5 linked regions of the Ovis aries genome follow. The main gene of each other region encodes a partner of the protein of the gene in region 4 in a complex. Links are inferred from orthologs where the notes say so. Each region holds a gene or a part of one and is shown on either strand. Other genes may lie near its edges.

What was found.
Region 1: the proteins of INTS11 (region 4) and INTS9 are in contact, whole or in part, in a cryo-EM structure (PDB 8RC4), measured with the Homo sapiens proteins. The link is inferred for Ovis aries from reciprocal best matches to the Homo sapiens genes INTS11 and INTS9. Residues at the interface, in NP_060341.2 of Homo sapiens: His94, Gln97, Ala98, His137, Leu138, His139, Gln140, Thr141, Lys274, His277, Tyr278, Lys280, Leu281, Phe282, Ile283, Pro284, Trp285, Arg291, Phe294, Ser449, Pro450, Ser451, Ile452, Pro453, Val454, Gly455, Ile456, Ser457, Leu458, Leu461; in NP_060720.2 of Homo sapiens: Glu127, Gly198, Tyr199, Ser200, Gln201, Lys202, Tyr231, Glu338, Phe339, Ile342, Phe343, Glu345, Gln352, Lys354, Val355, Tyr356, Leu357, Pro358, Glu359, Pro360, Pro361, Arg511, Arg512, Tyr513, Glu514, Lys515, Ile516, Glu517, Ile518, Met519.
Region 2: the proteins of INTS11 (region 4) and BRAT1 are in contact, whole or in part, in a cryo-EM structure (PDB 8UIB), measured with the Homo sapiens proteins. The link is inferred for Ovis aries from reciprocal best matches to the Homo sapiens genes INTS11 and BRAT1. Residues at the interface, in NP_060341.2 of Homo sapiens: Leu9, Val15, Gly16, Lys27, Met35, His36, Met37, Gly38, Phe39, Arg43, Asp47, Tyr50, Thr58, Asp59, Asp62, His70, Leu71, Asp72, His73, Asp87, Gly88, Gln97, Pro101, Ile102, Glu105, Arg108, Lys109, Val112, Asp113, Lys114; in NP_689956.2 of Homo sapiens: Asp25, Thr27, Cys28, Glu30, Lys31, Asp34, Pro117, Ser156, Ser157, Leu158, Phe159, Ser162, Lys358, Ser359, Cys366, Arg367, Arg424, Arg427, Thr465, Lys468, Lys469, Trp514, Glu515, Asp518, Ser519, Glu522, Tyr560, Ser564, Ser604, Glu605.
Region 3: the proteins of INTS11 (region 4) and WDR73 are in contact, whole or in part, in a cryo-EM structure (PDB 8R22), measured with the Homo sapiens proteins. The link is inferred for Ovis aries from reciprocal best matches to the Homo sapiens genes INTS11 and WDR73. Residues at the interface, in NP_060341.2 of Homo sapiens: Tyr206, Thr208, Thr209, Ile210, Arg211, Asp212, Ser213, Arg215, Cys216, Arg217, Glu218, Arg219, Asp220, Leu222, Lys223, Lys224, His226, Phe255, Arg258, Met259, Leu364, Val384, Glu385, Tyr386, Ser388, Lys418, Lys419, Glu421, Phe422, Gln425; in NP_116245.2 of Homo sapiens: Asp5, Asp6, Leu8, Val9, Ser11, Leu12, Tyr15, Gln16, Phe18, Tyr19, Ala20, Phe21, Asp22, Leu23, Glu50, Leu52, Arg59, Leu68, Phe69, Pro70, Glu71, Arg72, Asp73, Phe74, Lys75, Val76, Gly79, Phe81, Asp116, Ser117.
Region 5: the proteins of INTS11 (region 4) and INTS4 are in contact, whole or in part, in a cryo-EM structure (PDB 7BFP), measured with the Homo sapiens proteins. The link is inferred for Ovis aries from reciprocal best matches to the Homo sapiens genes INTS11 and INTS4. Residues at the interface, in NP_060341.2 of Homo sapiens: Pro183, Trp191, Lys194, Asp212, Gln288, Gln400, Gln404, Lys462, Met465, Ala466, Leu469; in NP_291025.3 of Homo sapiens: Leu159, Asp161, Thr162, Arg167, Tyr203, Gln207, Asp244, Ser292, Gly294, Trp296, Arg299, Lys323, Met326, Ser327, Asp328.

The regions. Positions count from the first base shown.
Region 1 is NC_056055.1:103,362,182-103,368,468, forward strand, and holds the start of INTS9 (integrator complex subunit 9), read right to left. Parts: upstream 3,661-6,287; 5' UTR 3,574-3,660; coding exon 3,565-3,573; intron 1-3,564. UniProt on the Homo sapiens protein: Component of the integrator complex, a multiprotein complex that terminates RNA polymerase II (Pol II) transcription in the promoter-proximal region of genes.
Region 2 is NC_056077.1:41,040,801-41,047,081, reverse strand, and holds the start of BRAT1 (BRCA1-associated ATM activator 1), read left to right. Parts: upstream 1-1,149; 5' UTR 1,150-1,174; intron 1,175-1,574; exon of another isoform or gene 1,575-2,132; intron 2,133-2,390; 5' UTR 2,391-2,573; intron 2,574-2,658; 5' UTR 2,659-2,674; coding exon 2,675-2,801; intron 2,802-4,090; coding exon 4,091-4,245; intron 4,246-6,026; coding exon 6,027-6,174; intron 6,175-6,281. UniProt on the Homo sapiens protein: Component of a multiprotein complex required for the assembly of the RNA endonuclease module of the integrator complex.
Region 3 is NC_056071.1:21,614,294-21,619,146, forward strand, and holds the end of WDR73 (WD repeat-containing protein 73), read right to left. Parts: intron 4,013-4,853; coding exon 3,848-4,012; intron 3,517-3,847; coding exon 3,157-3,516; intron 2,025-3,156; coding exon 1,789-2,024; 3' UTR 1,384-1,788; downstream 1-1,383. UniProt on the Homo sapiens protein: Component of a multiprotein complex required for the assembly of the RNA endonuclease module of the integrator complex. Associates with INTS9 and INTS11 in the cytoplasm, stabilizing the INTS9-INTS11 heterodimer and blocking the active site of INTS11.
Region 4 is NC_056065.1:50,519,874-50,526,265, forward strand, and holds the start of INTS11 (integrator complex subunit 11), read left to right. Parts: upstream 1-2,173; 5' UTR 2,174-2,295; coding exon 2,296-2,323; intron 2,324-3,220; coding exon 3,221-3,318; intron 3,319-3,732; coding exon 3,733-3,806; intron 3,807-4,095; coding exon 4,096-4,324; intron 4,325-6,392. Other genes in the region: CPTP (ceramide-1-phosphate transfer protein), read right to left, coding at 257-283.
Region 5 is NC_056074.1:15,731,153-15,736,987, forward strand, and holds the end of INTS4 (integrator complex subunit 4), read left to right. Parts: intron 1-3,512; coding exon 3,513-3,691; 3' UTR 3,692-4,771; downstream 4,772-5,835. UniProt on the Homo sapiens protein: Component of the integrator complex, a multiprotein complex that terminates RNA polymerase II (Pol II) transcription in the promoter-proximal region of genes.

The sequences.
Region 1 (6,287 bases), on a different chromosome or scaffold from region 4:
GCTATTGCCTTCTCCATACTCACCTTGGTGTATATATATATTTTTTGCCTTAAGCATAAAAGGTTTAATCTTCAGAGTCACCATCAGGACTTAGAAATGCCCGAGAGTAAAATACCCAGTTTAATCCCAGAGCACAGCTGAACAGTGGTCTGGCCTTATGTCAGTTTTCAGACCTCGAGGAAAACATTCTAAAGAGAAAAAAACCCTATCATACTGAGGTGGTGATAGAAAGAGCCTTTTGAAAGCTAGAAATGACATTACACCATAGGGACACACGAGGGCGCTCTAATCAACTAGCAAAGAGAAACACAGAGCTAGTGAAACCAGGTTGACATTTTAATAATTGTACTGAAACAGGTGAATTAAGTCCTGGTAAAATTATGTTTGTTATTTACAGCAAGCCATCTTCTGTTCCTGATCCAAAGTTTGAGAAGCCAAAAGGATTTTGCAAGTCTTAAAACTGCAGGAAGAATCCACTGTTCTCAGATCCAAGGTAAGGATTAAGCACATCCCTTCCCAAAGGGATATGCTTAAAGGGATGTGTTTTTTAAATTGACCTTGAGGCAGGATTTGCCCCTTTCAAGCCAGTATTTTCTTTCAAATCTACAATTCCACTTGGTGCTTTACCTGTCCTCAGCTGAATGAATCCATTTCTTTGCTCCATCTGCTTTCTTAAGAAAACTGGAGAGTTACAAGTTTGCACCTGTCCATCCCCGCCCAAAGCCAGTAATAATGAAACAGCATTTTGTAAAAAAGGAGCCCAGACCGCTGAAGAAAGTAACTCACGGCCTTATTGAGGTTTTAAATTCATAAATACAACTACAGCATATAATTTTCTCCATCAAATTCAGAGTATAGCATAGAACGAGCGTTTAAGTGACCTTTCTTTCAGATCTTTAACAAGAGAGCAACGGAACTGCAGAAAGTCCTGGATTCTGAGGCAATCAGGCTCGTTTCACTAAGGATTATCAGTCATCTTAAAATCACATTCAAACTTTCGTCTCAGCAAAATTACAAATAATTCCATGTCATTGATCCTTGGGGTCAAATTCAATAGTTAAAATGCAAAGTATTAAAACTTTGAATGCCACGGGTATACTGTGTTTGTATAATACATCCTTATTGACTGAATAAACTAGAGGATTCTCTCCAGCTCTGGAACTATCTACAGGAAGTGTGACAAATGATTTATTTTTGAACCGCTAGTTATTTTATTCACTTTAACGTTCATCTATTTGAATGACTAAATTCCTGGCCATGATGTTTCAAACTTGATTTCTGTCAATGAATTTGGTTTTTTTTTTTGCGGGGGGGGGGGGGCTCCCAAAGTCTTTTGTTAAAGACCCCGGTGAGTTCAATTTTCTATGCTTTGCTGAATTTGGCCATCAGGGTATACCCAATCAGGTTCAATCGATACTAAAAGGAGAATAGGCTCTAAAATGTGCTAGAGGATATGTTTCTAATTTTCCTGTTCTTTTCAAAATTGTCCTGATTAATTGAAGATGAATTTTCCTCAAAAAAAGTTGCCTGATATTACAAAGAAAAAATGAAAGTGTTAGTCACTCTCAGTCATGTCCAGATCTTTGCAATCTCATGGACTGTAGCCCACCAGGCTCCTCTGCCCATGGAATTTTCCAGGCAAGAATACTGGAGTGGGTTGCCATCTCCTATTCCCAGGGGATCTTCCTGACCTAGGCACCGAACCCGCATCTCGAGTTGCCCGCACTGGCAGGTGGATTCTTCATTACTAGCACTACCTGGAAAGCCCAACTGTATGGGAGGCAGGACAAAAAAGAAGTCTAACTTGCTGTCAGTGTTTCTGAAAGATACTCCTGTATTATAAATCATCAAGTACCAAATGAGTTTTAGTTATTAGGTGGATGAACAATAAAGAGGGAAGGAGTATAGATAGAACAATCCCTCTTCCTCTGAGGCATTTTATGGTTCTTAAAGGAAAAAAATGTTCCTACTTTTTCCACGTTTTCACATCTCTAAATAAAGTAAGCAGGAGAATTTTATAAGCAAACCAAAGTATATGTACATTAAACCCTGGCTCTGATACAATCAGCAAATGAGTTGTTATAGGAAAAAACCTGCTTCCCACTTGCCTGCCTTCGCACCACACACATCAACCATGATTTATCTTTTATTGACGACACCTGGTCTGTGTTTCAACCATTCAGGTGCCAAGCTCTTTGGCTTCTCTCAGCTGAACCCTCTTCAAGGAAGGCCCCAGCGCACTTGACCTTCTTATCAGTTCAAGAACTACCTTTCCAAAGGAGCTGTATCTGACTCCCCCACATACCCCCAGTATCCTCTCAATCAGCAAACCCTAAACATGATGACTCCTTTCACCCAGATGGAGGTGAATTATAACTTTTTCATTACTTTGTATCTTCTTCATTAGATTGCATGCTTCTTTAGGACAAGGGTGGTGATTTTCAATTCTGCATTTTGAAATGTTTGGAAAACTGACTCCAAAGCAAATTGACACTCTCAAGGTCTACTGATCTGTGCGTCCTTCTAATAGAAACAGCTTTAGATAGAGACAGTTTTGGAATTGAATCCACCTTTCTTATGTTCTCTGCCATCTCAAAGAACAGCTGACACTGTGCAGAATATATATGCCTGTACCGTGTGTGGGTACATACACACGTACTTTTCAAAAGCATGCTCAAATAATTAAGAGAAACCTTTTGTTTTTCCTCAGAAACTTCAGAAAGTAAAGCCTGACAATACCTGGCTGCAGGAACATGACTTTTAAAGCCTGAGAAACAGCATCTCACACCTTCTCTACTCAAATTATGCTATTACTAATTCCAATTAATTAGTTGGAGTAAGTTAGTTAAATCTGTGCACACTGAGAATTAAATGGCTCAAAACAAAAGCCTGAACAGCTTTCCTATAAGCCAAGCGTCTCAAGTTTTGTGATGCAGAACTTTTCCAGGTATCCTGGCATGCTCCATATAACCTTAGCTCACGCAGTCCCTACAGCTCTAGACTGTAACGCCAGTTAACACTTCCTCTCAGCCCATCTTATACAGAATTTAAGACTCAAACCATCCAAGATCACACTCTGACTTCGACCTCCTTTGAGTGATCAAGGGAAGTTAGGGGTCTATAACAGAGAATTAAATAAGAGATTAAGATCGGCCTAGAATTTTCTAAACTCTGTTCATGTTACCAAACCTTCTCAACAACTGTAAAAAGGAACGCTTCAAGTATCAATCCCGTGGAAAGAAGTGTACCAATTATAACACTCACGTGGCAGGCGGGAAACAAATCAAACCTGGTTCATAAAGTCCAACCTTGGTTCGTTTGTGAAGAAAGGTGACAAGATTCAATCTCTTATCTAACCAAAAGGGCCGCGCCAAGGGATGAATTGCATCTAGCAGTTGTGAAGGGTCTGCGTTGGAATTCAAACTCAACAACAAACATCAGCTTTCCTTGGTCCACTCCACCTTCTAGTTTCCTGCCACCCCTCGTCCGCGACGGTTCCCTTCCCAAGGTGGAAACGACGAATTCCAAAAGGATATGCCCTCCGATCTAAGAGCAGAGACTCACCAGTTTCATGCTGGACTTTTGGCTGGTAAGGAGCAGTTCCTCGACTTCTCAAACCCAGAAAGCGTCTTCCGGTTCAATCTCCACGACGGGCCCGCCGAGAGCATCGCGGGACATGCAGTCTTTTTTCCCCCTTCGCTCCTTCCCGGTGCATCATGGGAAATGTAGTCATCTCTCCGTGCATCATGGGAACCGTGGTCATCTTTCCTTTTCCTCTCCTCTTAGAACGCCTCCTTCCGTCAGCTCAAATTCATCCGCGCCGCCAATTCATCCTGCCTCTTCACCCCAGCATGATATCATGTCCCTCATCTGGGCCCAGAATCCATGGTATGCTGGGATGTGTAGTCCCTACGGCTCTGGCGCCCCTTTCCCCTCCTCCCTGTGGGAAGGCGCACTGGCGCGGTACTTGCCGGGAGCTGTAGTTCCTTGGGGCCTCGGGACGCAGAGTCCCGCACCTTTACTCAAGGGAGACAAAAACTACAACTCCCAGGGCCGCCCGGTGGCAGCAGGTGGGAGCGGGGCTGTTGATATCAATATGGCGGTTGTCAGCCAGACAAAGACAGTCAGTCTGATGTGATTGAGACAAGGGAGGTTTTTCAGGGGGAGACTGGGAGATAGGGGCCTCCCCTCCCCCTTCTCCTCTTCCTGCGCCGGCCTCAACCCCTCCCCAGACCCCTCCCGACGGGCGCCCCACGCGGAAGACACCCCTCCCCCTCCCGCTTTCCCCTCCTCCCTACCTCAGACCTCAGCCCTTCGTACCGGGACGTTGGGGAGGGGGCTGTGCCGGGCGGAGAGAACTCAGCAAGCATTCTGAGGTGAGTCGAGTGGTTTGGAAGCCTCAAGTCTCTCCAGTCTCTTTCCTCACTTCTTTCTCTTCACTTTTTTTTTGGGGGGGGGCGGTGTTGGGGGGAGTAAGTGAGTGGACTGGGGATGAGTGTCTTAAGCGGCCCAACTGAGAGGTAGGAGGAAGCGTGGGGTTTCGCGGGGGTGACCCGAACGCAGGGTCTGGGGTGGGGCAGTTTGTGGGGGCAGTAATTGAAAGGCGTCGGGTGCTCCCAACTCTTTTCTCCTGGTTGCCTCCCCAGTGGGCGGAAGGTTTGAATCCTGGAGGTGGGGTCTCCAGTTTGGAGTTTGGGAAACTGTGAGGGGAATTTGAGGTGCGTGGGTTTGTTTGGGGTGCAGAGCTGTGTTTGAAACTGGGTGACGTGCACTCGGGCGATGGGTTAGCCTTGAATAAATGTCTCAGGAGAGGAAGTTCGAGAGCCGGAGTCGGAGCTGTTAGCTGGGCCTGGGCGGAGAGGCGTGCGCGAGGTGCGGCTCCGGGACCTCTGGGCTAGCGGAGCGGCGCGGGGTGGCCTCGGGGAGCAACTCGTTTGTGTCCCATCGGCGGCTCACACTCCTCCCCGTCTCCCGGGACCAGCTCCACCGCAAACTCAGGGCAGGCGCCTCGGAGAGATGAGGTGCGGTGGAGATGGCTTTTTGCATCCTTAAGTCGGTAGCTAGGTGGGAAAGGAAGAGTGTTCTTAATATTTTATTCCGGAACCGTGTTTTGGTTACACTATTGGGGCTACTTGGAAAGGAGTCCTCCACCCATCCTCACCCCGAAACAGTAGGTCTCCTTGGTCGTCTTCACCTTCCATAGATGAAACATTACTTAAGATTCGGGGGCGGAGGGGTGGGGGTCGGGAGTGCCCACTTCTGTACGCGACCCTGTGTGTCTGCTGAAGACACGGAATGACTGTTGTGTATCCTGTGGTTGGGTGACTTATTTTCGTAGTAGGAAAAACTGTTGGAAATTGTTGAGGGGGGTGCGTGGGGACTCGCTAAAAGGCGCAGCTTGTATTTTTCTTCTACCCCACCCTGTTCTGTCTCGCATTTGGCTGAAAGCTGGTATGGAAGCGAGAGGAAACATTGGGTGAGTGAAGGGGAGAATGCAGTTGGCATTACAAATACTATACTATGTAAAGTTGAATGATGGTTTAGAGTGATTACCGTTTTTATTTACCCTGAAGCTTTAAAAATCTTACGTATCATGTAGGGTAGAGTGATGTAACTAGTTAATTTCTCTGGGATCCTGCAGGTGTAGAAACCTCTGCCATCTCTCTCTCTCTGCCTGCCTGCCTGCTCTCCCTCCCTCTCTTCCGTGCTTCGTTTCTGTTCTGGCATGGTACATTTCTCTTCTTTGATGGACATGCTGCCTCCTATGCCTGTTTCTTTAGTTGGTTCTATGTGGTTGTGCTTTTAGTGGTTTTGCTGTAAGATGCATCTTTCGATGAAGAGGACCTGCATTTGGTTTTAATTTGCATTTATTTCGCAGGTAATTATCACATCAAGATTGTAGTGCTTTGCGTTAAACTTATTTTAAAATTGCACAGCTGAGTTAGATCTAGTTGAATTAAGTGTGTAAGTTGAGGTTGGGAAATTTGAATTCTGATTTTTTTTCCCCCGAATTTCAATTGGAGTTACAAAGGGAAGAGGATTGCAACATCTCTTGTTTCTCACAGTCTTTAATATTTAAAAACATTACACTAGAAGAATTAACATAATATAATTTGTACTTATTTCACCCGGAAATGTAAGTTTTTCAATAACCATTCTTTTGTCATATATTTTTAGTATAATGGAGTTTTAAATAAATCGGCATAATTTGTCTTTTCGACTGCTGAGAATTTAATGTATTTACATATTTGGCTTATCAATTCTTGAACCTATCAGTAAAGGACCTT
Region 2 (6,281 bases), on a different chromosome or scaffold from region 4:
GTGCCCGGGGACACCCTCGCGCCGACCGGCTGCGCGCCCAGAGTGTGGGGCGGAGAGCGGGGCGGAGCTGAAACAGCGCTCTAGTTCCCAGAGCTGTCATTAATAAATATTTGGTAGGTTAACGCTGAAAGGGACAGGGAGTCCACAGCCTGCTAGCTCTGAACGCCTGGCATTGAGAAAACCATCTTCCTGATCTCGGATCTTAGGCTCAAGGGTTATGATGTAAAAAAAAAAAAAAGTCGCTGTCGTGTCTGACTCTTTGTAACCCCATGGACTATACAGTCCATGGAGTTCTCCAGGCCAGAATAATGGAGTGGATAGCCTTTCCTTTCTCCAGGCGATCTTCCCAACCCAGGGATCAAACCCAGGTCTCTGGCACTGCAGGAGGATTCGTTACCAGCTGAGCCACAAGGGAAGCCCAAGAATACTGGAGTGGGGAGCCTATCCAGTGATGTAGTCAGAGGACAAAAAAAAAAAAAAAAAAAAGATCTTAGGCCCAAGGGTTATAACGCAGTCACAGGACAAGAAAAAAAAAAAAAAAATGAGTTTACACTCGCTGTATTCAGTGTGTATAATGAAGATCTTTGGGCCCGTTGGGCTGCAAGGTTCATTTAAACTATTAGCAAGCATAATCTGCCCTTTCTCTTCCCACAGGCCTCCAAGGGCATTTACTCTGTTCCTCTGCCCTGCTGTATTTTTCCAGCCCCTGACCTTTATTATCTACAAGAACTCCCTTTGTCTAGAATGTAAGCTCTCTGGGGCAGGGCTGTTTCCCTCCCGACTGTACTGCTGTCCCTTGGAACAGTGTCTGGCACACAACAGGTGATTAATCAGTAGGTATTTGGCGCCGGGCGAGTGATAGCTTCTCTGTGCTTGTGTCCTCTAATATAAAGGGAAAGAAAGAGCTGCTGTGAAGAGCGCCAAAGAATTGATGCTTTTGAACTGTAGTGTTGGAGAAGACTCTTGAGAATCCCTTGGAGTGCAAGGAGATCCAACCAGTCCATCCTAAAGGAAATCAGTTCTGGGTGTTCACTGGAGGGACTGATACACCTGATGCGAAGAACTGACTCCTTGGAAAAGAGCCTGATGCTGGGAAAGATTGAAGGCGGGAGGAGAAGGGGACGACAGAGGAGTTGTTTGGATGGCATCACCGACTCCATGGACATGAGTTTGAGTAAGCTCCGGGAGTTGGTGATGGACAGGGCGGCCTGGCGTGCTGCAGTCCATGGGGTCGCAAAGAGTCGGACACGACTAAGCGGCGGAACTGAACTGAACCGAACCGAAAGTGCTTAGAGCAGCTGCGGGTTCCAAAGTGCGCGCTGTGTGACACGGAGGGAGTCCGCACACCGGGCAGGTGGTGTGGTAGGATGATGACGCTGGTGGGCAGGGACAGTAAATGCATTCTGAACCTAGTCAGGATGAAATCCCTCTGTAAGTAGAGGAAGTCGTGCCTGCTGCGCGCCTGACATCTTGCTTTGCTGGCCAGCTCAGACACGCGGGCCTTTGGTCGGCGAGGCCACGCCCCTTCCGCCGAAAGCCACGCCTTCCAGGCGCAAAGCCTGCTGGGTTCCGGTGCACACTCCTCTGAGCGCCCTGGTCGGGTGACGGGCCCAGGCAACGGGCTTGGCGGCGGCTTGTCCCGCTCCTCCTTAGCCCGTTCCCTGAGCCTGGGCCTTTGGGGCTCTCAGAGTGGCCTCCAGGGGCGTCCTCCCCGTCCTCGCCTCCTCCAGTCCCGGCGGGTCGCGCGGCCCGGGGCGGGGCCTGCGGCGGCTGAGGGAAGCGAAGCGGGTGAGGCGCGCACCCGGGGAGGGGTGGCGGTCGCTGTGGAGGGCCCGGCGGGGTCGAGGTTAGGGGCCAGGGCCTCCCGGGCCGTAGAACCGCCTGGGGCCCGCGTGCGCGCCCCTGGACTGGGCCCCAGCACCACCGCAGCCGCCGGCCTGGCGTCCTCCTTGGGGTCCACGGGGAGGGCGCCTTCCTCAAGAACGTAGCTTGGCCAGGGATGGACAGATGGACGTCCCAGCTTGCTCTTGACCCTGGCAGACAGAGTCACTGGCCACCCCATACCCCGGCGAGAGCCCTTCCTGCCCACAGGACCGATGGGCTCCCGGGCCTCTCCCAGGCCAGGCCCGCAGGTGCTCTTGCAGTCCCTGGAGGAAACAACAGTGGGCAGGGCGCCTTCCCCTCCGCACACTGCTGGCTGCAGGGTTTTCACACTGACTCTGGGAGGGACAGACACGGAGACAGACACCTCCCAGCTGGACTGAGACCCTTACAGCTCTGACTGACTAAGCCGATCAGCCTCCTACACGTGGCTGGCCCCAGAGAGGCATGCGCCCCTAGCTCGACAGGCCTGCAGCCTAGATCAGTTTCACGCTCTTTCCTCCCACCAGAATCCAGAGTTGGCTGCCTTTGAGCTCCTGAGGCTGCATGGTTTACCCCAGACTCCCATCTCCACCGCCAGACTCGAGGGCTCCAGTTTGCTCTTGACAACCTCCAATCTTACCCCAGCCAAGGCTTCACCGCAGTCCTGGCGGCTTGGAGTTTCCCTCTGAAGAGTCATCACCTGGCCTGAGGTGAAAGTCCTGGGGCCTGGTGGGGCTGGGGGCTGCCTGTGACTAGGCGGATGGGGTCTGGCCCTGCCTGACATCTCCTCTGCAGGAACCCCAGCCCCATCATGGACCCAGAGTGCGCCCGGCTCCTCCCGGCTCTCTGTGCTGTCCTGGCAGACCCCAGGCAGCCGGTGGCAGATGACACTTGTTTGGAGAAGCTGCTGGACTGGTTTAAGGCAGTCACTGGAGCAGGTACGGTGGGGGCAGCTGCCGACTCTGCCCAGAGGCCGGAGGGTGCAGGGCTCCCGTGTGCTAGGAAGAGGCCGTCTGTCTGGGGTCGTTCTTCTACATCTTAGAGAGTCCCCCTGGCTTGTCATATTTCCTCGCGCACAGATTATGGTTAGGGTTAGGGTGTGTAGGCTTTCCTGGTGGCTCAGTAAAGTCCCCTGCCAACGCAGGAGACTCGGGTTCAATCCCTGGGTCAGAAAGATCCCCTGGAGAAGGAAATGACAGCCCACTCCAGGATTCTTGCCTGGAGAAGCCCATGGACGGAGGAGCCTGGCGGGCTACAGTCCACGGGGTCACAAAGTCAGAAACGACTTAGTGACTCAACAACAACAGGTGTGCGTACACGCACACACACGCACATACATGCACACACGCGTGCACACACGCACACACACACACACACTCTTTGAGAGTGTTTTCCATTATAGTTTATTACAAAATGTTGAGTATAATTCCCTGTGCTTTACAGTAGACCCTTGTTTATTTTAAATGTAGTAGTTTGTATCTGCTCATCTCAAACTCCTAATTTATCCCCCCACCTTCCCCTTTGGGAACCATAAGTTTGTTTTCTTTGTCTATGAATCTGTTTCTCTTTTTCAGATAAGTTAATGTGCATCATTTTTTAAGATGCCACATGTAAGTGGTATCAGACGATACTTGTCTGACTTACTTCACTTAGGACAATAGTCTCTAGGTCCATCCACGTGGCTGCCAATGGCCTTGTTTCACTCCGTATATGACTGAGTCGTAGTCCGCTGTGTGTGTGCAACGGAACCACACCTTCTTCATCCATGCGCCTGTTGGTGGACGTTTGCGTTGCTTCCATGTCTTGGCTGTTGTGAGCAGCGCTGCTCTGGTGTGTAGACACTTCCGGTGCCATGTCTGGAGAAGAATGCCTGTTCCCTGCGTGTCTTGCTGTAGTGCTCTCCGTTTAAGAGAAAATTACCCACTGGAGAGGCGAAGATTTTCTGCTGCTCTTATTTGTGTCTTCTTTTCATAATCAGCAGGACAGAACGTCTTTTCGGGTCTGCTGGCCATTTGTATTTCCTGTCCAAGTCCCTTGCCTGTTGTCGAGGTGTTGTTGAATTAGAGTAATGAGTCCTTTGAAGCAGTTGTTGCAAATACTTCTCCCGGTTGGACTACTGAGTCTAACAGCCTGAGAGAGGGGGTCTGGGAGTTGCCAGAAGGACGGTCCCTTTTGGAGGCACGCACGGCGCCCTGGTGACGTGCGTCCCGGCTGGGCCTGTCCCCAGGCTCCAGTCTCCTATTACTGCAGGAACACCCCTGCCTGGTAGAGCTGCTGTTCCATGTGCTGAAACCCCAGGATCTGAGTTCCAGAATCCTGTCCTTCACACTCCGCCTCGCAGGGATCTTTGCAGCCCAGGAGAACTGCTTCCAGTTCCTCCAGGTGAGCCTGGGCCTCCCACCTGCGTGACCCACCTTCCCCTGCAGGTGCCTAGCAGCGGTGGCTGTTGTGGCCCCCGAGCCTCTGAAACTCGCTTTGCCCCCGTACCTTGACGTGTTCCACAGGGTTTTTATTCCTGGGTATAGTCCTCCTTTGAAGAATTCACCAGGAACGGATTGGGGTGGAGGGTGAACTTTTTGGAATCAGACAGAGCTGGGGTTGGGCCTCTGCCCCTTCGTGGGTGTCCCTCAGTTCAGCAGTGCAAGCTCCTAAGGCCCCGCCCACCCCAGCTAATGGTGGGGCAGACTTTCCAGGGTGTTCCACACTGAAGCCTGTTATAGGAAATGACTTCATGTCTGATCATCCTTCCGTACATACCTCAGCGTTTCCAGAGTCACGTTCGGGTTATCCTGAGAGCCCTGGCCAGTTCGCAGGTCAGGAGCCATCACCTCTGTCTCCGGGTGAGGAGACAGCGAAGGCTCAGTAGAGGAACGCCACAGGACCGGCAGGGCTCACAGCGGACCCTGCAAAGTCGGGCTGCTGGCGTGGTCGGTCACACCATCTGCCTCCCTGAAACAGATCCTCAGTCCCGATCACGTGGGTTTTCCCAGCTCCTCTGACTTCTGGGTGCTCCCTGGTTCCCGTCTCTTCTTCTCCATCTCCTCTTTCTCCTTCCGGCAGCCAACCGTGGCTGTGGAGGCTTAGCAGGCCGCGGGCTGCCCTTCTGTCTGGTGGCTGGCCCCTGCATACGGGGACAAGGGACACGGCAGGTTTGAGCCCTGCGTCGCAGAGGCAGCTTGCCTTGGGCCCTGGGCCCCTGGCACTGGCCTGGGCTCCTGTTCCCTTTTTGGCTTCCCTTTCACAGAACCCCAGGGCTGCTTGTCAGTGAGATGCTCAGCATGGGCCCCATCTGGGCAGGGGGCATGCAGACAGACGACATGAGGCTGGCGGCTGAGCCTCGGTGCCCTCCCGCTGGCTGCAGGCTGCCCCCAGGAGGGCTGTAACTTTGGGGGGGCATTTAGATGAAGGGTGATCCCACAGAGGGCCTCCCTGTGGGCTGCCGCCAGCAGCGGTGCCCCGTAAGGCCGTCGTGGGGTCAGACTCACCCTCCAGTGATTGAAAGAGCGTCTTTTCGGCCCAGGGATCCCGCACCCGGAGTCTGAGGTGACTAGAGGCACCCTGTCCCTCGAGGGTGGGGCCCGCATTTTATTGTCAACATAGACAAGGCTCTGAGCAAGTCACAGCCCCAGGGAGGGGCTCTGGGGGAAAGAGGCAGCCCCCGAGTTCCCACTCACTGTACTGGGCCCTGTGGGGAACAGGAGCCTCCGGCACGTGGCACGAGTCAGGGCGGTGCGCTGCTGTGCCGCAGGTGGACACCCGTGCACAGATGGGCACTGAGTGGGGAGTCGGGCACTGCCTGCTGCGGGCGGGGCGCAGCGGGCTCGCAGCTGGGTCCGAAGGGCTTTAAGCAGGTGTATGTGCAGGGCAGGCCTGACACATGGGGTGTGCTGGGGGGTCTGGGGCGGGGGACATCTGGAGGAGGGCACGAACTCCACGTGCCAAGCGCAGAGCCCAGGGGGCTGTGGAGACCTGCGGGTGTCTCGGGCACAGGGCGTCACGGTCAGGGGGGACGTTTGGCGTTTTGGCCGGCGTCTGCGGTGGGAGGGGCTTCTGGAGCGGACTGTGACAGGGTCGGAGCCTGAGTCTGACACCCAGCCCTTCCCAAGCTCTCTCCCTGGGAGGCAGAGCCGGACTCACTCGGCTCATTCCTCCTTCACTTCCAGCAGGGGGAGCTGCTGCCCGGGCTGTTCGGGGAGCCGGGCCCCCTCGGGACAGCGGCCTGGGCGGCCCCCTCCGTGCGCAGCGGCTGGATCCAAGGCCTGCACTCTCTGGCGCAGCACCCCAGTGCCTTGCGCTTCCTTGCAGACTCGGGTGAGTGCCCCGCCCGCGTCTCTGCCCTCCCCATCCCTGTGTGAGCTCCTGGGCCGCGCTGGGTTCTTCTTCTGAATGGGAGAGCGGCCGTGGTGTCACAGGGCTGT
Region 3 (4,853 bases), on a different chromosome or scaffold from region 4:
GGCGACTCCATCTTCCCAAGATCCTCTTAAGCTTCTCCCAACCCTGGGCCAGGGGTGTGTTAGCTCAGTGCTAGAGTGTACCCGCTTCTCCAGGTGACCACAACGAGAACTGATAGGTTCCAGCTGGTCCTTGCCCTCCCCTTCTTGTCTGCCCTGTGGGCCCCAGGCTCCAGCAGCAGATAAATGGAAAGACAGCAGCCTTACAGAGACCGTGGGCCCAGCTCCCACAAGTACTGTGGAAGTAACTCCTACTGGTCTGCTTCTCTGACTACACCCTGGCTAACACTCCTGAGTGTGAGGGCTAAGTCGCTCAGTCGTGTCTGATTCTTTGTGACCCCATGGACTGTAGCCCAACAGGCTCCTCTGTCCATGGTGTTCTCCAGGCAAGAACACTGGAGTGGGTTGCCATGACCTCCTCCAGGGGAGCTTCCTGACCCAGGGATCGAACCTGTGTCTCCTGCATTGCCAGGCAGGTTCTTTACCACTAGCACCACCTGGGAAGCCTGGCTAACACTCCTACTGATCAGAAACTCTGGGAACAGAGCCCAGCAGTCTGTCTTAACCAGGTGATTCTGATGCATGTTAAGATTTGAGAATCTCTGATGTAGGGGAAAGCCTTTTTACAATTACGTGTGCTGAGAACCTAACTTTCTATACACACACACAAGGAAAGTTTTGCATCATGGAAAGGTTAGCATCAATATACCTGAATGTCCCAGAAATTCAACTACTGCATAAAACTTGAGAAAACAGTACATTCTTTTGTGGAGAACTTTCCTCAAGGGTTTCTTCATCAATTCAGAAAAACCAGGTCCTTGACTTTCGAGGGTGAGTCACAAACGCAGCACCCGTCTGGGTCTGTAATCTTGGCTGCCCAGTTCTTGATTTTACCACATACATCCAGACTTGAGGGACATGAGTATGAGTAGTTTGGGGAGTTGGTGAGGGACAAGGAAGCCTGGCATGCTGCAGTCTGTGGGGTTGCAAAGAGTCGGACACAGCTGAGCGACTGAACTGAACATACAGGCAGGGGTCTGATGACCGCATTAGGTGGAAGAATGGCATTTATACTGAAATACAAAGTTTCCTGTTATTTTGTTCCCTTGTATTATTTTTTTTAATCTTCTTTTAAATTGCTATTTCCTTCATTGCTACTAGGGTTGACATTTTTTATGTTTATTTGCCACTATTCCCTGGTGGCTCAGACAGTAAAGAATCTGCCTGCAATGCAGGCAACCCGGGTTAAATCCCTGCATCAGGGAAGATGCCCTGGAGGAGGGCATGGCTACCCACTCCAGTATCTTGTCTGGAGAATTCCATGGATAGAGGAGCCTGGAGGCTGCAGTCCATGGGGTCACAAAGACATAGACACCACTGAGCAACTAACACAACACCACAATACATTTCAGTTCTGTAAACGAATTCACAAAACTTGTTTACGGTTATTAGCTCTTCAGACTCTCCATACTGTGAATACGGACAGGGCAAAACACTGCCATTCTGCACTCGGGAGAAATGGGGCTCCCAGAGCTAAGAGCAGTTACCAAATATTTATTGTGCCATGCATCCTAGCAGTTATCTTAAAATGTATTACTTCTGACTTTCCCAACAGCCCTGCCAGGTAGTTATTACCAGCCTCATTTTACAAATAAAGAAACTGGGGTGGGCTGACAGGCTGGTTAACTTGCTCTCAGCCACTCAGCTGGTAGCAGGGCCGTCTGCGGTCGCCTGAATCTGTCTCCTTGCTCCGCAGCAGCTTCCCAGGGCCTGGGCTGAAAGATGCTGGTGTCAGCGAGAGGCACAGGGGTCCACCCAGTCCCACACATGCAGAGAGGCGTCACTGGCTGCCGATAACACAGTCCTTGGTTTGTAGGGGTGCCAGGTGTGGGTGGTGACCAGCGGGGCAGGGTCCATCCCACTGTCGTCTAGGAAGATGTGACCTCTGTGAGTGAAGAGAGGTTCCACTTGGCGCCCCACTCCAGCCCAAGACGTGACATCATAGACCTGGACCGTCCCGTCGAACCCTGAGGAAAAACGAGAAGAGAGTGTTGACGCTGTATCTCTGAAACTGTTTTTATAATTTGCTCCGTGGAACCAAACAGGCTGGAGGGTGAGGAATCAGACAGTAACGAGGTACTTAAAGACCACCCGAAGGGCACGTGACACGTGGTTAGCCACGTCGACAGCAGCTGATGGTGTCGCAGAGCACGTGCTCATGAGCATGTGTGGCCTGTCCATCATGGGCCAGGCCCGGGGCTAACCCTGCATTCTCTCTTTTACCCCTCAGGACTATATGAAGTAGGTAGTATTTTTTTTTTTAAGTTTATGTATTTAGTTGTAGCATGTGGGATGCAGTTCCTTGACCAGGGATCGAAGCCAGGCCCACATTGGGAGCAAGGAATCTTAGCCACTGGACTACCAGGGAAGTTCCCATGAAATAGGTACTATTATTTTCCCCAAGAAACTGAGGGTGAAGAGACTTTTCAAACCTTTTCTGCTAACCCCCAATTCTACTCTCTCCACATGTGGGTCCCTCCCAGCACATGGCCTTGTCTCCTACCTGATGGGGGAAACAGAGACGCCTAGAGAGAGAGAAACACCCCAGAGACACCTAGAGAGAATTCCTCCAGCCCGGCTCATCTCTCCTGCCCTTTCTGGAGCCGGTTGTTATCAATGAGCCTCTCCTGCTCTCTCAACTATTGGCAGCCTCTCCCCACTCAGAGGATTCTTCCGTGGGCTTTAAGATATCTCATGGCACACCCTTATTCAGCTAGATGCTGCCAGGTCAGACCCAGGAGTCTGCTGCCCTCCCTGGCTTGCTGTGATTCTAAAAGTGAGTAGCCTGAGAGGCACCCGAGATCCTGTCACCTCTCCCTGGTTCACCCCATGGCTGTTCTGGTGCTGTCCCACCTGCAGGCTTCCGGACCAACCTCAGAACCGAATTCCTGCTGGGACAGGAAAGGCCCGCTACCCACATATGAAGTTTGGTAGCCAGGATGAGGAAGGGCCATCCCTCACGAACCTGGAGAACTAGGAGCTTTTCTGTGACAACTGTACCTTCTGGGGCCACATTTATTATGGGGCTGTGGGCTCCCTCCCGAGCACCTAAGAGTCCCCTGGGAGAGAGACGAAGTGACAAAGTCCTCTCAGCAGTACCTGAAATGGCCAAGCAGTTGTCCAGGCTGGGGGCCCAAGTCACTCGCAGCAGCTCTGGCTCAGGGCTGGGCATGGACACGGGGCACTGGACTGAGCTCACGGGCTGGCAGAGATCCCGGGGGTCGAGAAGACAGAGCTGCCCGTCTGAGCCGAGGCGGGCAATGCTGGGCCCAGGGCCCCGGCCCCCAGCTTCTGCACACCACCGCCTTCCAGCGGACCCAGGGCCGGGGCCGAGGTTCTCTGACGGGGCCCACTTCTGGCGGGTGTCAACCAGCCCCAGGCGGCCTGAGGAGCAGCAGAAGGCGAAGGTGTCCGTGTCCAGGACCTGCAGGCTACTTAGCACATCATCGTCACTGACACCTGGAGAACGGGGCGAGTGAGAAAAGCTGCTGCAATCAGATGGGGCTGGTGGGCCCAGCCAACGGGTGGCCAGTCCTTTCCTTGGCGAAGCTCCCCAGCAGCCCCAGGCTGAGTGAGTCACGTCCCTGGTGCCCCCCATCTTGCAGGTGCACTCAGCTGGCTGGGTGCTGCTCTCAGGACCACCTCCCCACACCCAAAACAGGAGCCCCTGAGGCCAGGCCTCGCCTCTCATTCACCTCACTTCCACAGCAGCGGGCACGCAGGGCTGAATTTGGATTCCAGTGTGGCTGAGCAGGGCTGGGGGGGGAGGAGCTGGAAAGGACTGTGGTACCTGAGGTGTACATGGTCTTCTGTGAGTCCAGATCCACCACCTTCAGGCTGCTGAGCCTCGTGCCATGGAGGATGCCGGGTGCCACTGATGGGAAAACGGCCACCCTGGGCCAAAGAGGCTCCTCGCTCTCGTGCACATCAATGGTGCTGACAGCTCTGATGACATCTGGCGGGAAGCGGGAGAGGCTCAAGTCCAGAATGTTAAGGCAGGTCTGCAACATCGCATGGGAAGGGCCAGGCAGAAGGTCAGGGGAGAGAAGGAGCTCACTGTCGGCGAGGGAAGATGTGGAGACGCAATAGCCCCGCACTGTGCTCCTGACTCTGGAGCTGTCAGGGGCACTGCCATTTCTCTATGATTTGTCTCATGGACTGTTTCCCAAACCGGAGGGAATGAATGACAGCGGCCACATCCAGGCCCGCCAAGCAGCTCTGGCTTTTTATAGTTTTGTGGAGAACAAATAAAGGAAGAGAAAAGAACACACCGGCACTGTCGTTTATAACAGGAAGAGTTCACGAAGTAACATTATTTCTTCAAAAACATGTCCCGTGACCTCAAGCTGTTTACTGAAGCCTAGCAGGTGAAGGGTACAACACAGATGTCTTCAAATGTAAACAGGGCAAGAAAGTCCACGTCTTTTTCACACTGAACATCGACACACTTGACCTCAGGCTAAATCAGACTCGAGCTCTGTTCACCTCAGCCTGCTTGGACAGCAGGCAGGTTCCCATCCTCTGCCACCTCCATGCGTAACAGTTCAGAACAAGCAGTTTGCTGTACACGCTATTGTTACTTAAAGGGAGACACCCATTTTCCATTTTCTAGCTCCTAGAGAGGGCTCGCTGTTTGGTTTCCAGGTTCTCTGAAGAAAATGGAGATCTGTATTTTTACACTCTAGATGAAGAAGGGATGGCCGGCCACAGACACAGACACAGACACACAGACACACAGACACACAGACACACACACACACACACACACACACACATCACAGAGGGCGTGGCCAGGC
Region 4 (6,392 bases):
TGGAACACACAGGGGGTTGGGCTGTGGGTTGTCTCCTGGTGAGAAGGCTCCTCTTTGGGTCATTATTTTGGGGAGGGGGAGTGGAGGCAGTTGGGAAGAGACAGCTGGGATCCCATGGCTCCCCAGTGAAAACCCATGAGGACTCCCACCCCCAGGTCAGCCCCTCCTCCCCAGAAGCCACCTTGCTCTGCTTGGGCTACAGCAGGGCCCTTTGCTTTAAGCATGGCCCCCCCCCCGTAACTCAGCCTTGCCAAACCTGATACATCTCACTTGTGGAAAGCATCTGTGCTCAGGTTTTCTTGCTTGTTTATAGTCTGTGTCTCTCCAGGGTGTGTCTGTTCCTACTGACTGGAGAAGTATTTGCTGAGTCCCCACGCAGAGCCAGGCAGCCACCTGGGTGCACTGTGAGTGCAACCAAAGCCCAGCCCACTGGGGTGACATCCTAGTGGTGGGTGTGTGCGTGTGTGGTTTTTAACAAAGACAGGAAGTCCAACCCAGCAAGTAAAAGGACGAGAACCACGGAGAGACAGACCGTGGGCGGAAGCGGGGGGGTGGGGTGCGTCATGACCTTCCATGCTTGAAGCTATATCCCAAAACCCAGAACAGAGGCTGTGGGGTCAGCGTTTGCCAGAGGACAGACACCAGATGTTCCACCCCTACAGTAACTGGAGCTTGGTGAGAATGTAGGAAGAGGGCAAGGAGATGTCATGTCCCACACAGAAGGCTGGACACAGGCCCTCTCCCAGTCCCAGGGACTCCAGAAGTGCCCCAGGCCACAGAACTCCTCTAGATTCTGCTGGCATTCCCATAGGCATGCCACAAACACCCAAGTGCCCAAGGTTAGCAGGTGCTGCTGGACACCCCAGCCCCTGCCTCCCTGAGTGCCCAGGGCTGCACTGTGGTGTGGCTCTGATGGGCCCTGGGGACTAGGCTGTGTCTCATCTCATTGTCCAGGACAAGCTCTCACCCTTTGGGCACAGGGGTTCCTGGGCCCTCAATGCTGGAAGGCTTGTAAGAGCCTGCATGAGAGGAGGCCATTTGAGCTGTGGTGAGAGCCCAGCCAAGAGAGCACATGTGGGTCCCTTCCATACCATGGGCAAGTCATGCACTGACCTAAGATCTTGTCCCACAGCTTTAGGGAAAATGGGCCAGCACACCCTGCCCTGCCCATCACCCAGGTTGCTGGGAGCCTCTGATGGGGCCCAGTGGGTGCTGAGGCCCTGCAGGCCCTCTGCCTTTGCCACATGCCTGGCACTAGGTGGAGGGCCCGGTGGTGAGCTCACTCCATCTTCAGGTGTGGGGGACAGCAGTGCCTGGCCTCAGGAAGAAGACAATGGGAGGCTTCCAGCATACTCCTCCCCTCTCTCAGGGCCTCAGTGTCCTGTCCACCAGACAGATGGCCTTTGAGGCCCTCAGGGCTACCTTCCTGGTCACCAGCCATCCTATGGGCCTGGCCTTCCTGCCTGGAACCTGAGCCAGCAGTCAACGGGAGGTGCCAGCAGCCTTTCAGAGCTTGGAAACAACAGGAAGGGCAGTGGCGGCGCAGCGGGGTCGGGCAGGCTGCCAGCTCCGGGGAGGTGATGCAGGGAATCGCCAAGGCTCCCCCAAGGGCAGCCCATGGCCCCAAGGTCAGGGCTCATCCTGAAACTGACGGCAAGCTGAAGGTCCCTAGGAAAAGAGGGCTGCCCTCCGGCACCCCAGGCCCAGCGGGTGGGAGCGGGGAAATCCCGGAAATCTCGCCTGAGAAGGGGGCTCCAGGTGGCGCCAGGCTGGGACCCAGGACTCGGGTAGGGTGGGGCCCCTGTCCTGCGCGGGTCCTGCTCCAGCTAAGTCCCTAGGGAGGGGACAGGGGCTCGGGGTCCGGGCCAGCGCTGGAGCCGGGTCCTCGGCCGCCTCCTCCCACGCCTGGGGGCTCCCGCTCCGACCCCTCGGCAAGGCCCAGGCCCAGCTCGGTTGGGCTGGGATTCCCCGCGCCGCCTTGAGCCCGTCGCGCCCCACTCACCTGCGCCTCCGCTGCTCACCTGTGCCGCCACAGCAGCCACGGGGCGGGCTGCCCGGGCGTCGGCCACAGCCCTACCGCCCCGTCGCCCGGGACTGGCTGCTGGCCGCCCAATCAGAAAGCACGTTGCGCGGGCCAGCGTTTCCGTCCGGCACGCCGGAAGTTGGGGCCGTTGGGAATGCGCCTGCGCCGTGCATAGCCGCGAGTCAGGCGCGCGTGGCCGGGACCGGGTCGCGGGCCCCGGGGTCTCGTGGGACCGGGCTGATCCTGCCCGCTCGCTTGGCTTGCCCAGCAGGATGCCCGAGATCAGGGTCACGCCCCTGGGTGAGTGCTGGGCGGCGCAAGGAGCGCCCGAGGAAGGCTGGTAGGGGGCTCGGAGGTCCGGGGACCCCGGGACGCGTCTTCCTCGCCGCGCGGCCCCCCGCCCAGCACCAGTGCTTAGTGCACCTTCCTCCTGCCTCTGCGTTCGCGCACTCGCTGCCTTCCACCTGTTCCATATGTCTCGAGCCCCGCTTCCCTGCAGCCTCCGTTTACCCGTGGGCCGTTCACCCCACGTCAGTCAGACTTTCTTTTGCTTGACCGGCGCAGCGTTAAAAACAAAAACCAACGTCTCTCCCGCCCCCAGCTTGCCCTTTGCGGAAGATATAAGTGCATAGTTTAAAAACAGTACAGCAGTGCGAAGGAGGTACAGCAGGTCACTCAGAATGGGAACAGCCGGGGTCTCTGTGCACAGGTGCCAGGGGCTTTCCGGAAACCTGCCCCCCTGCCACGGCCATATATCCGCAGCGTCTTCTAGCAGGGTTGTTCCCCGCAGCTCTACATGCTCTCTTCTATGGTGCATTCTCAGAATAGCCCACCCAGCCTCCCGCTGCAGTGGTCTTCCCCTGGCCGTCCAGGGCACAGCACGCATCCCGCCCCGCCATAGGTGTCCTCACACCTCTCCTACCTGTTGACTCCGGTTCCCCTCTGGTTGCTTCAGCTCCATGCTCTCCTCACACCTGGTTCCTCTCCAGGGGCCTCTGCAGGGTTCTTCCAGCCTGTTTCCCACTGTGGCATCTTTCTCACCACTCACTTTTGCCAGCCTTTTTCCCCTATGACATCTTTCTCACCGCGCACCCTTGAACAGTCCTGTCTTTTTACTGCTTCTTTTACCCCAAATCCTCACTGGGCAGTGGGAGAGAGGGGGGCATGGCTGTCCCTCCGACTGGTCCTCCCATACAGGGGCTGGCCAGGATGTGGGCCGAAGCTGCATTTTGGTGTCCATTGCGGGCAAGAACGTCATGCTGGACTGCGGGATGCACATGGGCTTCAGCGACGATGTGAGTCTCAAGGGTGGGCGGCCTGGCATCCAGCCTGCACCTCGGCGTCATCACCGAGGGACCTGGGCCTCGGAGTCGCAGGCTTTGACTATGGAGGAGGAACGGGGGCAAGTGGGCACTGGTAGGAGGGCAGCCCCCACCGTCACCCAACAAGTGGAGCACTTGGGTCAGACTGTACTGGAGCCAGGGCACGGCTGTGGGGTCTCAGCTCTCAGGTACTGGCTCAGCAGCCTGACTTCTGCCCTACATGCTCAGGGGTTCTGAGCAGTCGGTGGCCTCAGTGGGCCTGCAGGGTGTGGGTGTCAGGCTCAACTGCATCCTGACCCAGGGGCCATCCCCACAGCCCTGGCTGCCCCACAGTCACCTGAGCCCTGGGCAGGCGGCATCCTGACACTTTTGCTTCTCCCCCCACAGAGGCGCTTCCCCGACTTTTCCTACATCACCCGCAGTGGCCGACTGACCGACTTTCTGGACTGTGTGATCATCAGGTGGGCGCCTTCCCCACCCACAGACCCAGCCACCCACCCAAGTGGCATACTGGTTCTTGTTGCCCTGAGCCCCTTCCTGTTCCTTCCTGGAATGTGAAGCTGACCCCATAGTAACTGCCTGCTGGTGGCATCGCTAGACACTTGGGCCTGAGTCCCTTTTGCCCTCTCCCTCTCCCATGTTCAGGGCCATGTCTGACACATAGCAGGCCCTCAGTGAGCAGAGGAATGGGGGTAGGGTTGCTGGGTGGAGGGTTGGGGGGCATCCAGCTGACTGGTGCTGCGCCTGCAGCCACTTCCACCTGGACCACTGCGGGGCACTCCCCTACTTCAGTGAGATGGTGGGCTACGATGGGCCCATCTACATGACCCAGCCCACCCAGGCCATCTGCCCCATCCTGCTGGAGGACTACCGCAAGATCGCCGTGGACAAGAAGGGCGAGGCCAACTTCTTCACGTCCCAGATGATCAAGGACTGCATGAAGAAAGTGGTGGCTGTCCACCTCCACCAGACGGTGCAGGTCAGCTCCCCACCCCCGCCCCCAACTCACTCTGCTGCCATCCCAGGGACCCTTGGAGGCAGAAGGTGAGCGTGGGGCCCAGCTCAGATCCAGTACTGAGCAGGGCTCCTGCCACTCCCTGGCTCTGCCTGAGTGTGTGGAAGATGCCAAAGAGGGCCAGTGTGCCATCTGAGTACACGGGAGCAGGCCGGGCAGGTCAGAGACCAGAGTGTGGGCTCATTGCAGTGGACTGACTCAGGGTGGAGGGGTAAGACTTGAGGCAGGCGAGTGACATCAAATGTAAAATTTATCACAAGGATCATGGATTTGTCTGTTTCTTCTCAAGAGTCTAGGTTTTGCTTTTTTTCATGAGTCTGACATTTGGGGTCATCTTATTTTTCAGATTGAACCCTTTGTTGAGTTGAATCATTCATTGAGTTGTATCCTCAGTAATGCTTTATCTTCGAGTCTGCCTTTCTGGCGAAAGTTCGCCCCTCCCACACCTTGAATCCTTGCCCTTCTTAGTACTTTTATCCTTTCTGCAGCGTGTTTTATTTTTGTTTTTTGGCTGCACTGTGTAGCATGTGGTATCTTAGTTTCTTGACCAAGGATCAAACCTGCTGCCCTTGCAGTGGAAGTGCAGAGTCTTAACCACTGGACCACTAGGGAAGTCCCTCTGCATCATATTTTAAATGTGACTCTTTTCCACGGCTTGGCTTTAATACAACCTGATGGCCTATCCTATAGGAGAGGTGTGCACTCCATGTGTAATAATTTGGGATTTAGGTGTATCGTTTTCTGTTTACTTCCAGTTTGTCCATCTTGTTCTATTTCCTTTATTGTCTTTTTCCGGACTGAGTTTTTAAAACTCCATTTGTCTTCTTATTTTATAAGTAATTATATGTTCTTTTGTAATTCTTTTTGTGGCAGAGATTACAAAACACATCCATGACAACTCAGCTCTAAGGTACTTGGAACTTTTGCCTCTTTCCTGGACAATGAAAGCATCTCAGAGCATCTTGAATTCACTTACCCCTCTCCTACTCACCAGCTCTTATTTCCACATAGCAGGATTTTAATTCTGTCAGCCTATGAGGCCCCAAGGCCCTCACCATTTGCTAGGTACCATCTCCATTATCCTAGCTGTGTCCCTGCTCCTTCCCATGGTCTTCACTTTGTATTTGCAATGAAGAGCATCAGTATGGATCTGCTGGTGACAAATGCTCTCAACTTTATTTATCTGCAGATGGCTTTATTTCGCCTTGATCATTAAAGACTTTCTCCCCCCAAAAAAAAAAAAATTAAAAAAATAAAGACTTTCTCCCTTAGGTTCAGAATTCTAGGGCAGCAGGTACTACCAGGACTCATGTCTTCCACCTGCTATTTGTAGGAGAATCCTCTTGGGCGGCTTGTGGGATTCTGTCCTTTCCTGCAGACTGGCAGGTGGCTGTGCTGGCTCCACCTGTTCCCTTCCTGCTCAGGTGTGAGGCCCTGGAGCTGCCCCCAGCTTCCTCCAGGCTGACTGGAGATCTTTCTCCTCCAGACCCTCCACTGTCCTCATGTCTGTATTTCATTCTAGTTAGCCTTTTTAATTTATTTTAGTTCATTAATTCTCTTCTTGGTTGTATATAATGTGCTGTTAAATTCATCTGTTGAATTTTCTTTTTAAACTTGAAATATAATTGACTTACAATATTATATGTTGCAGGTATGCAGTATAGTGACTCACAGTTTGTAAAGGCTATACTTCATGTATCAGTCAGTTCAGTTCAGTTGCACAGTTGTGTCCAACTCTCTGCGACCCCATGGACTGCAGCATGCCAGGCTTCCCTGTCCATCACCAACTCCCAGAGCTTGCTCAGAGTCATGTCCATTGAGTCGGTGATGCCATCCAACCATCTCATCCTCTGTCATCCCCTTCTCCTGCTGCCTTCAATCTTTCCCAGCATCAGGGTCTTTTCTAATGAGGCAGTTCTTCCCATCAGCTGGCCAAAGTATTGGAGTTTCAGCTTCAGCATCAGTCCTTCCAGTGAATTTTCAGGACTGATTTTCTTTAGGAGATCAGTAAAGGCTACACTTCATGTATAGT
Region 5 (5,835 bases), on a different chromosome or scaffold from region 4:
TACTCTCCCTTCTGAATCTTGTCTCCTCACCTTCTAAATTAAGATGACAATTCTTAATCTACTACTTAATTCTGAGGACTAGTCTTTCTGGAAATTAAACAGTTTTATATTTTTTTACCAGTAATTTAAAATCACTCTTTTTGTTATATGAACAGTTCATTTTATTCCCCCAGAAGAGGTACAATGACAACTGTTACTGCCTTCCCTTCCCACACGGGCTGGTTTGTGGGGTAGTGCAAAAATGATCTATTCATACTTCACCCTACAGCGTCTGAGTAGAAACTTGATAATTTGAGAAAATAACAGAAGCTACGTAAGTATTTTTCCTTAATTCGTAAAGGATAAAATGAGAGAATACGAACGCAATGACATTGCATTTCCACAGTCTGTAAGGCGCTCTGAAAACTTCAAAAAGAGACTCAGTCTGCAGAGCCTAAAATGTGGGCGAGAATGGGTCTCGGTGGTGTTGCCTCAGTTGTTGAAGATGATTCAGAAGTATGGTTGTTACTGGAGATGGTGTTCAACACCAGCAAACTTGGTTTGTTTTGGAAATAGATGAATGCCTTCTGGAATTTTCTTTCATTGTATTTTTGAATACATGTGTAATTATTTATTGCCGCTATTAGTGGTTTTCCCCAATGAAGGGTGTTAGGTGGGTATAGATGACTATCAAGTTTTCACAAAGAGGAAACGGTGCTATTGAATGTCAGAGCAGCCCTTTTGGAGGTCCAGTGGGCCTGTCACAATTGAGGGAGCTTCCAGCCAGGAAGCTGTTCCCAGGATCTGCCTCCCTGAACATCTCTCACTCCATATCCTTGCTGTTGGAATGTTCTGCACTGTTTGCCACAGTGCAAGTCTACAGGAAGATAGAGTTCCTTATTCTAATCTCTTTTGGTGAAGGGACCCTAGATATGGGGAAATAAATGCTGTGGGACAGCATTGTTCTGCAGGGGCCAAGGCTCAGGGAAGGCAAAACAGCATATTACAGCTCAGAAGAGCTTGAAAGGTTTCAAGGGATATATTGACTTGTCCCTGGTCATACAGCAGCTCACTGCATGAACCAGGCATACAATTTGGGCTGTCCTGAGCCTGAAAAATTATGATTCACTCAGGTTTACCTTTGAGAGGCTGCTACCTAGTCATAATTTAAAATCTCCGTTTTAATTTTCTACTCAGCAGTTACTCATGTCAGATGTTTTCTCATCATTTGTTGACTTTATCTCCAGTTAGAATGTGGGCTGCTTGAGAACAGGGAACTTGCTCATCACCTTTACCTCTGTGTTCCCAGAACCTCTATATCTCATGTCCCTAGTGCCTGACATGTAGTACATGCTCAACAAATAATGAAAATGGAATGTAGGGTTTCAAGTTTGCAATAAAAATTCATTTAATTCTTAGATAACTCTGTGGTGGGAGTTAGTATTCTGCTCTTCATTTTACAGATGCATAAGTGGAGGCCCGTGTAGCCGATTAATGGTGGCTTGGGGGCCGGCATGCAGATTTCTTAAGTGCCTTGTTTTTTCACTATACCATCCTCCCATCTGGCCTGGGATACTAAAGTGAAATGTGTTCTCATTCTGAATGCACCAGCACTTTCTTCCTCCTAACCCAGGAGACGAGGCCTGGTGTTGGGAAGGGACTACTTCTTGTCCCTCAGCTCCCTACCTAGGGCCTGGCTTTTGGGAGACAGGATGCTGCCAGGCCTGGAGTCACATAGACAGGTTTCCAAATTCTGCCTTACTTACTGTGATCCTGAGAAAGTTATTTAACCTGTCTGTCTCATTTTCCTTTAAGACTGTAGAGTGGTAATATATACCTCATAAAGACATACTCTTCTAAGCATGATAAACAGGTTGCATGATTGGCCCCAGACGATCTTTTGTTTCTTTTCCCCACTGTCTTCTCCCTCTTGTTTTTTTCTCTCTGCTCCCTTCCTCTGATGGCAGAGGCTTGAATTGCCCCCTTCACATGTGCTGGTGAGGGAAGGCTTAATGACCAGGTAGGGTTCAGTTGTCTGACCTTACCAGGGTTTGGCTCCTGAAAGTGCTGTGAGAGCCAGGGCTGGGTTGTGGTTCAAGGGTTGGCGGTAGCCATCTAGGACACAAGAGAAGAGCCTGTTGGGAGAGCTGATACTGGAGCCTCGGACCAGAGAGCAGTGCTGGTTTCATTACAGAGACACTGAAGGCTGGTGAAAGGGCCTATGGTAAATGGTCCTGCTGAAGCTGCTGTCTGGGCTTGGCTGGGTTGCTCTGGCCGGCTGCCAGCCCTCCCTTCCTGGAAGACAGTGATCTTGTCTCTATTTTGATCCCTAGGGAGAAGTCTGGAAATAACAAGGAACATGTCTGGGGAGGCATTGAGAAGTCCTGGGACCTCTGCCCTTGTTCATTTTCTGTTCCATCAGCCCTCGTTGCTGCCCTTTAAACACCTTACCCTTGGGCTCAGCTTTAAAACTTGCATCTTTCATGAAGTAAGGAGGTTACCCAGTCACACAGAATCGAGGAAGACACCCAAACTAGCTGTGTTCTTGTCCTCTGCACCTGGCGTTAGGTCTTTCTGAAACCCTCTCCCTCTTCTTTATTGAAGCCACATGGTTAATAGAAAGATTAGTGTTTCAGTTTATGAACTGAGCTCAAATTCTGTCACTAGTGTGGATTTGGGCAGTCACTTAGAAACTCTCAGTACCTTGGGACTCTTTTGGGATCATGACGATCTTTCTTTCATGATGCGGCAGGGTAAGAACTCTTGGAGTTATGTGTTTGGCACCAAGCAGGTGTTCCATTCCAGAGCTTTCCTGGGTACCTTCGTCAGTGCTTTTTACAGACTCGCGTGTGAACTGTGCTCTACACAACTGTCTCTGCCTCCTCAGCCAAACAGCAACTTAAGGGAGGTCTTATTTATTTTTGCTGGGCCTGCCAGGTGCAGACACCAGATCAGTATTGTAATGTCTGTCATGAAAGAATGGAAGGTTCAGTGACATGATTTTATGTCCCTGAAATGTGTTCCTGTTCATAATGAGTGTTTTCTGTCCAAACTATTTCCAGATGAACAGCTTCTTCTCCGCTAATGCAGCAGAGTCCACTCTGCACATAGCCCTCAGGTCTGAGATCGGCTGTCCAGAAAGAGCATGGTTATCTGGGCACAAGAACTGGCCACATGCACACACCTTGTGACCCTCTGTCTTGGAGGCTGGAAGGCCTCTGTACAAGAGGGTTTTTTGCTTGCTCTCTGAGCATCTCAGCAGCCATGGATCTGAGCTGCAGGGAGCCCAACAGACCCGAGGAGGTGGCAGTGGCAGAGAGATAGCAGCACGTCTGTAGCTTAGGAAGAACCTCACGGTATTCAGGCTGGAAAATTGTGTTTGTTTTGCAGATGGGGGAAGGGAGGGATGCAGACAGGTGAAAAATGTTCCTGAAACCCCTGCTGCCTCCATCTTTGATCTTGCTTTTACTTGACATTTCATCCCAATTCCTGGGCGTTGCCCTGTCATTGATGATTTTTGTCTTTTTTTCTAGAACCCTGCCAGGTGGAAGTGAGGCTGCTGCTGGCCTACAACTCCAGTTCACGCATTCCAAAATCCCCCTGGATTGAAGGTGGTGAGATGTCACCCCAGGTGGAAACCGGCATCGAGGGCACCATCCCCTTCAGCAAGTCTGTAAAAGTTTACATAATGCCCAAGCCTGCAAGGCGCTGAATCACAAGCAGCCTTTACAGCCGTGGCCTAGAAGGCCCTTCTTGGGATCAGAGTGAGCCAGAAGCCAGAACATTTCACCTGGAAATGGTATATAGGCATAAGGAGGAACATGTGGCCCTTGCAGTCTCATCTGTATCAAGCATTGGATAAATTATTTTGCATTAATTAAGAAAACAAACCTTCAAGTCTATCCTGCCCCCGACCCCCAACCTCCATAGCCCTGCCCCCAATAAAATTGAGACACCAAGCTGCTCTAGTCCCTGGTCCTTCAGGGAATCTGTGTGGCTGTAGGTTCAACATTTATGCTACATGTCTACATTCTTCAGGTGTGAAACAAAAAGATCAATTTTCTAGCTACTTCTAAAGAACCAGTTATCGGAGCCATAATCTTATTTCATAAAGCAGCAGTCTGTTTGTCAGAGCCAACCCCAAAGCAGCTTTCACAGCTTTGCTTTTTCACCATCGACAGTTCCTGAATGGCCCCAGACTTCATTGTCTTGCTGAGAGTCTCCTTCCTTAACTCAGGCAATGGCTGGCCAAGAACTGAATGGACAGCTGAAGAATGAATCATTTTCATTCTTCAGGAAAATTTTTCATCTTGCCTGCCATTATCCTTAGGACCAAAATATGAGAGATGGGCCATATTTTAGAAAAGAAACCAGCATTATGGGAAAGAGGGATCTAGTATAAGAAACAGAGTCATTTTCCAGTGATGACTTCTCTGATGACTCCAATGTTGGAGCTGCATGTGAGTTAAAGATGCAGCTGTGGTGTAAGAACAGTAAAGGCTGTGAACCATGTGAGGGCCTGTGCTGGGTTCTTCACCTGTCATTTATTCCTTGTAACAGCCAAGTGAGTCTGACAGGTTAGGTCATTGGTAGGAATACTGTAATAACACCTGTATTCATTCAGATCCAAAAGGAGTCCAAAGGTCTGAGCTATACCACATCAGGAGAAGTATATGGAAAAGAACCTACAAATCTCTCTTGTGCCTTAATTTTCTTATCTGTAAAATAGAGATAATTATACTTTATGGGTTGTTGAATGGGTTTAATTAAATAATGCTTGGCAAAATCTTAATCTCTGGTCAGTCTTGATCATATTTGGTGCTTGGAAAGCTAATAAAAATAACAAGAGCATGCAGTTCCTCAGAGGCAGAGCTGGAATTTGAATTCAAGCACGTTTGACTTCTGGTTTAACACACCTAATGTGTGCCCAGCAGTGTTGCAAACCCTTTAATGAATTAATTCATTTAGTCCTCAAAACTATAGTGTGAAGTAGGTGCTATTATAATAAACCTAATAGTAGGTTTTAATTAAAGCAGTTGAAGTTCAGAGAATTTAAAGAAGCCAGGATTATGGGAAAGAGGGAGCCACTATAAGAAATAGCACTTTCAGCTCCATCTCTGATGGCTGCAGTGTTGGAACTGCCTCCTTGGCCTAGGTCGCACAGCTGGTAAACTGTGAGCTGGAATTAGAACCTGGGTGGTCTGGCTCCTGGAGGTCATGACTGCTATGGAGAGACTAAAAGAAGATCACCTCCGTGGCGTTTACTTTTCTTGTGTGCTCACTTACTTAGTACATCTCAGTGATGTGCCATCAGTGTCAGCAGGAGGCCCTAAAGGAAATTGCCTGCCTTGGAGATAAAGTAAAGCTGAAAGCCAGACTGAGTCATACCATGGCCTGACACAAGCACCTAATGATGATGACTGAGTTGACACAAAGATGAAACATCAAGAACCATTGCTGCTAACTGAGCCTTCCAAGGGAAAAGTATGGTGAATCCTTTTTAGATACACTACTCCTTTTATAAAAATCTTTCTCAGTTATTCCCTATTTTATAGGTGGGAAAACTGAGAGTTTGAGGTCATGTCTTTCTCCTGAGGGGCAAGGGCGAGAATTTGATCCTAGGTCTTAAGACCTGAAATAGTACTTTCCCCATCAAAGGTGAAGATACACAAAGGGGCAAATTTTGCCTTAGTATCAGGATGAGTTTTTGAAAACTGTAAGAATTGAATGGGTTGTCTTAGAAGATCAGGAATTTCCCATGCTGAATGTGTTCAATCTGAGGTTGAACAAGCTCCTGACAAGTGTGTTCTAAAGGAATTCAAGTTACCATATGAGGGGTTGAGCGCAGCCTTTTAA